Saccharomyces cerevisiae S288C: one gene and its partner. Each later gene encodes a partner of the first gene's protein in a complex. Each region holds a gene or a part of one and is shown in the gene's direction. Other genes may lie near its edges.

Region 1 (3,503 bases):
GCAAAAAGACCAAAGTTTCTACTGGACCTGCAAATCAAAGAATTGGTAAATATTCCTCAATCTTCTGGCTATTGCTACACGAAATGGCGTTTGAAGGATGGAACAGGTACGTCGGGACACAAAGTGGCTCTGGACGGTGAGCATCAAACCACTTCGACCCAGAGTAGAGGTACAACAAAACACGTGCATGTGCAACATCATAGAGCACAATGGAATTATTCATTAGACAAACCAATCCTGGTGAAGCTCCACTTGGATAAAAACGGCAGATTCTTGAAGAAAATTTTGGTGTTGGATGTTTTTTTTGAGTTTGCTGATGCGAATTCCTCGTTGACTTCTAGTTCTAGTCCCAATGGCAAAGTGAAGAAAACGACCTATGCTAACGCCACTGCACTAACGGCCACAGGAAACAATTCATATTCTCAAAAGATAACGGGTAAACTTCTATTGGGAACAGTAGACATAGATATAACAGAATACGTCAAAGAAGACGAAACTCCCACAACAAACAGATTTCTCCTAAAGCACTCAAAGGTCAATTCTATAATCAACGTCTCATTGCAGTTGAAGCTAGTTAGAGGCTCTTACGAAGATTTCAACATTTCCAAATCGTTTACTAATGGCCAGCTCGCTAATTACAGGCCAGGAATAAATACTATACTGGATAACACGTCTGAACTATCTAGCCCCACATCAACAACAAACCAGATGTCACCCAAGAATACATTCTCCAATTTTAACGGTATTGGAACAACTGTAGCGAAACCCGGTACAAATGCGACAGGAAACAGCACAAGTATTAAATCACCGACTTCTACCAACCACAAGAGTAGCGAAATGACAACAAAGCCAGGGCTGTCAACAACAATATCTTCCTCTATGAGCCCACTGATTGAGAGCTTGTACCAGAAAACGTTTAAATTACCGTGGGATCCTCGACCAGGTGAATTTACGCCAAGAGAATGCGTGGAAGATATTTTACAAGGCGGAAACGGTTGGGCTAAGAACGAGAAGGGCATAAATTTAATCGATTTACAGGCATTGAGATTGAACGAAATGGAAGAAGAGTACTACAATCCAAATTATGGCAATAACCTTGGGAACAAGGCAAGTAGTTGGCCTCCAAATCCAAGCGATGACGGCTACAGCACAATGGGCAAAAGAGAGTATTTGGAGAAAAAGCAGAATTGGAGTCATATGTCACGAGCACAACGTGCAAAACTGAGGACTCATAATGACGAGGATAACGAAAATACGGCTAATGATAAAGGGAGCGACAAGGATAATAACTCTGTCGAAGACAATAACCCCACGGACTTTTTAACAGATAGAATAAGAGAAAACAAAAACTGGTCTATAATAACCCCATCGGGCTAGAATATTTGTATTGTTTTATGTAATTATAATCTTAAGCTTGCAATACCAATCACTATTACCATGTTAATGATCCCCCAGATAAAAAGACAAGACAGAGCATATATCAGACTACATTAACATCTGTACACCCCCAACTGCTTTGAAAAACCCATGCAGTTATTATTTTCAACAGACCAAGTTTTTTTATCGCTTATCCGGCTCACAGAACGAGCCGTACAACCGTCATCAGACTTGCATGGAAATGTTGAAAAAGAGGTAAAAAAGAAAATATCAAACCCAAACACGCTCGGGCTGAAAAATTAATATGGCAGGAAACGAACTGTAGCCATAATGTACCTGTTCCCGCTAATAGTAATACCATCGTATTGCTAAGGTTAGTAGCTAAAAATCTCTTACTTTCTTTATTTTGACTCTTAGGTCTTACAAGCAATACAAAACCAACACACCTATATATAACTAATAATGTCCGGTAACGGTGCTCAAGGTACTAAGTTTAGAATCTCAGTATGTTAAAATTTTTATTTTCCACAATGCAATTTGGTTAAATTGATCATAAAGTAAAGTTCCAAGATTTCATTTTGCTGGGTACAACAGAATTAAACAGAGGTTTAAAAGACGCTAAACACTAAGTGTGAAGCCTGATCATATACCTATCGGTGTTATTTTCCATAAGAATGGTAGATGTGCCATCACTGGTACCGCCCCGCCAAAGATGCAATTACACACATAAATTCAGTTTTTAAATGGTTAAGCGGGCTGTATTTGCAGATGAAGTGATACCTGTCAATATTCATGGACTCAAAAATTTCTGGTTTCAAAATCATACACGGCAAGCATATCCTAACTCCCTCTTTTGCCCATACTAATGGATAACCATCGAAATGTTATTTCTACAAAAATCACGCTTAACTCTATTTTTCAAGATTAACCACATCTGCTAACTTTCTCCCTATGCTTTTACTAACAAAATTATTCTCACTCCCCGATATTGAGATCTTTTTTAACTAGTTAGGTCTACCAGTCGGTGCCATCATGAACTGTGCTGACAACAGTGGTGCCAGAAACTTGTACATTATCGCCGTCAAAGGCTCTGGTTCCAGATTGAACAGATTGCCAGCCGCCTCTCTAGGTGATATGGTTATGGCCACCGTTAAGAAGGGTAAGCCAGAATTGAGAAAGAAGGTTATGCCAGCTATTGTTGTCCGTCAAGCTAAGTCTTGGAGAAGAAGAGACGGTGTCTTTTTGTACTTCGAAGACAATGCTGGTGTCATCGCTAATCCTAAGGGTGAAATGAAGGGTTCCGCCATCACTGGTCCAGTCGGTAAGGAATGTGCCGATTTATGGCCAAGAGTTGCATCTAACTCCGGTGTTGTTGTGTAAAAAGGAAATTATTTTGACTCATACTCTTAGATTCTTCAATTATATATATTTTCTTTATAAATAACAATCTCTTAAACAGATTAAAGAAACTCAATAATTCATTGCATTTTTAGATGAAAATATTACTATTATCGTTCATCGAGAGAATCACATGATATTATGAGCGTGATAGGAGGGTCTATATATTTTTTGGGGTACGTCAAAAAAGCAAACAGACACGTTAAGAAGGTAAGAATAACAGATGATAGAATGTTTTGCTAGTGAGAAACAAGTATGGCACCAGCCGTACAATATGCATATTTTGACATTTTTCAAGGTAAATTAGTTCCAAGTTAATAGAATAATCAAGACTAATTGACTTCTCAAAGCCTCGCAAAAAAAGCAGGAAATTCGAAAAAAAAGCCTTCAAAGAAAAAGGGAAATCAGTGTAACATAGACGATGGAGGATCATGGGATTGTAGAAACTTTAAACTTTCTATCATCAACAAAAATCAAAGAGAGAAACAATGCTTTAGATGAGCTAACAACAATTTTAAAAGAAGATCCGGAAAGGATACCAACCAAGGCCCTATCTACAACGGCAGAAGCTTTGGTAGAGTTACTTGCATCTGAACACACAAAATACTGTGACCTTCTTCGAAACTTGACAGTGTCAACCACAAACAAGCTATCACTTAGTGAGAACAGACTCTCCACGATATCGTACGTTTTAAGATTATTTGTAGAAAAATCATGTGAGAGATTTA
Region 2 (2,951 bases), on another chromosome or scaffold:
CTTAATATACAATTTCTTATCTACTTCTGCCTACAATTTTTAGGATTCATCTACTATTATTACACTATTGTTATACTATTGTATTTATATTGAAATATCAATAAAACAGGGCTCGTAGAAATGTAGAATTTTTACCTAATATTCTTCTTTCAGCCCTATTTAAGAACCCCGTTATATAATGCTATGCCCTACTGTATTTTACATATAACCCTGATTTTATGACTTCTCGATTTTGTACCCTCGGCCCGGCGACGGTAGCCAATGCCAGTAAAGTTAAGTTTAATAATGCATCATAATGTGGGGATGGGTAATGCTATTGCACCCTAAGTCGTTGATACTTCTTCAAAGGAAAAAAAAATACCGTGGTGAGGCTGTAGTTGTGTTCAAAATAAAATAAAAGCCGTACACTCTAGTAGTAAAAAGACTTTACTGAATCTTATGAAAAGTTTCTGGTTTTTGCCTCTCCTTACAGATTCTACCGTCTTTAAGGCCTAGTTTCTCTGTGTCATTGTGAAAACATGGAAAAAGCTTCCTTGAACATTGCTCAGACAAAGGAAATACCACTGACAGATAGGCGAATGGGGCTCCGAGGATGGAAGGCGTGCAGTAGGCCGCATTTACTAGGTCGAATATTGCTTTTCATGAGCATACTATTTATTACAAGTGCGGAATTAAGTAGCGACGTAAGCTCCAGAGAAGTATATATGCCGATATTCAATAATAAGCTGTCGTTCAAAGTGCCGCCTATTAAACGCTCGTTGCTGCTAGGAGCAGCCCTGTACGAAGATTTCGAATATAGCTCTAACAACAGTGCTTCTGACGGAGCGTTCTGTACCGTGTTTAATGCAGGCATGAATGACGCGTCTAGGGAGGTTGTTTTTGAAATCCATGTAATGGACGTGTTGCAAGAAGAAACAGACTCCAGCAGGTTCGGAGGAACCAGTCACGAGCGTGGGAGGCAATCACTGGGCTTCAGTGTTTTTAATAACAAGAATGGTGATTTGTTAAGAAGCAAGAAAAATCTAGCGAGCGGGACGTCGGTCATCGAAGTTAATCCTGGGAACTGTAATGAGTTCTTGATATGTTTCATAAATTTAGTCTATGACGGATCGTGGAGCTCGATTGATACTGAAAAATCTGTAACGATAAAGATGACCTACAATGATAAGCTCGATCCTGACATGTTGTTGCATTTGGTCAATCAAATGACACCGCAGGTGGTGAAAGCATTGAATACCGTCTCTGACGGCCTTTTCCAGATAGTGAGCGATACCACACTTCTTCAAATGGAAAGTGATAGGCGAGATATAAATGAGGCGACGTATAGTTATCTGATTGTGGGGTTTGTGTCGCTTATGGTAGCACAGCTGATATCCAATATTATAGTTACTACCTATTTGATTATTAAGATCAAAAGTAATCCTTCATCTCATATCAAAAAGAAAGGTTTGTAAAAGAGCATTGGGCAGAGAGTATTTGTCCTGCGTATAGAGGAGAAAAAATTGTACTGATGCTAATTTTGGTGTCGTTCTTCTTTTTTATTTTGTAAGACTGTTTTCCAGAAATGTTTGGGTTTATTTTTTAATTTTTTGAAACATTTTTTTCATCCTTTCTCATTTTGTCATTTCATTTTTCTGTGGAAAATTTCACTGACGCGAAGAAGCGATGAAATTTCCAACATCCTCCCATCATCCCAATATTGGCATACACACACATGCAGCACAGCGGAACTGCGGAGGTCAGAGGCAATGTGGCAGAGACGCTGGCGCGCCTGTATTGTATAATAGTATATTTTACACTCAATTCAATTTTTTGATATTAAATTAGTGTGTAAAAAGCTTCTGAAATCAAGAAGCCCGTACCAGAAGTTCAATCATGAAATACATCCAAACTGAACAACAAATCGAAGTCCCAGAAGGTGTCACTGTCAGCATCAAGTCCAGAATCGTCAAGGTTGTTGGTCCAAGAGGTACTTTGACCAAGAACTTGAAGCACATTGATGTTACCTTCACCAAGGTCAACAACCAATTGATCAAGGTTGCTGTTCACAACGGTGGCAGAAAGCACGTTGCTGCTTTGAGAACCGTCAAGTCTTTGGTTGACAACATGATCACTGGTGTCACCAAGGGTTACAAGTACAAGATGAGATACGTCTACGCGCATTTCCCAATCAACGTCAACATTGTTGAAAAGGATGGTGCCAAATTCATTGAAGTCAGAAACTTTTTGGGTGACAAGAAGATCAGAAACGTTCCAGTTAGAGATGGTGTTACTATCGAATTTTCCACCAACGTTAAGGACGAAATTGTCTTGTCAGGTAACTCTGTCGAAGACGTTTCCCAAAACGCTGCTGACTTGCAACAAATCTGTCGTGTCAGAAACAAGGATATCCGTAAATTTTTGGACGGTATCTACGTTTCTCACAAGGGTTTTATTACTGAAGATTTATAAGCTTTTTATTTGATTTTGTGACATTTTCTTTAAAGTAGCAGAAAAAATAATTACATATAAAAAACTTTGTATATCTAACATATAATATAATTGAACCGATACGAAAATAAAAGTACCGATAATATGTCAACTTTTTGTTTTTTGTTGCCGTTTTATTACGTGCACTAATACATATACATGCGTATATAAATATACATAACTCTTGAGGGGTTTTGTTTCTATCTTTAATGAACCACGGATCTGGAGAAATCTCTTGCCTTTTGGATCAAAAGCGCGTCAGCCAACACCAGAGCGGTCATGGCTTCCACAATAGGAATAGCTCTTGGAGTGACAGCAGGGTCATGTCTACCCTTAGCGGCTAAGATACCTTCTTCACCATCGTAAGTGGCGGTTTTTTGTTCTTGAGAGATAGTGGCCACTGACTTGAATGGGACAGAGAAATAGATGTTCTCACCATTAGAGATACCACCTTGTACACCACCTGAATTGTTGGTCTTTGT

What was found. The genes of interacting proteins can lie anywhere in the genome.
Region 2: RPL23A (region 1) and RPL9A share a complex: the UniProt entries of both Saccharomyces cerevisiae proteins name them as parts of the large ribosomal subunit.

The regions. Positions count from the first base shown.
Region 1 is NC_001134.8:59,076-62,578, reverse strand, and holds RPL23A (60S ribosomal protein uL14 RPL23A), read left to right. Parts: upstream 1-1,839; coding exon 1,840-1,881; intron 1,882-2,385; coding exon 2,386-2,757; downstream 2,758-3,503. Other genes in the region: YBL086C (uncharacterized protein), read left to right, coding at 1-1,377; DNA-binding protein kinase TEL1, read left to right, coding at 3,197-3,503. UniProt on the Saccharomyces cerevisiae protein: Component of the ribosome, a large ribonucleoprotein complex responsible for the synthesis of proteins in the cell.
Region 2 is NC_001139.9:227,254-230,204, reverse strand, and holds RPL9A (60S ribosomal protein uL6 RPL9A), read left to right. Parts: upstream 1-1,875; coding exon 1,876-2,451; downstream 2,452-2,951. Other genes in the region: RRT6 (Rrt6p), read left to right, coding at 519-1,454; bifunctional chorismate synthase/riboflavin reductase [NAD(P)H] ARO2, read right to left, coding at 2,676-2,951. UniProt on the Saccharomyces cerevisiae protein: Component of the ribosome, a large ribonucleoprotein complex responsible for the synthesis of proteins in the cell.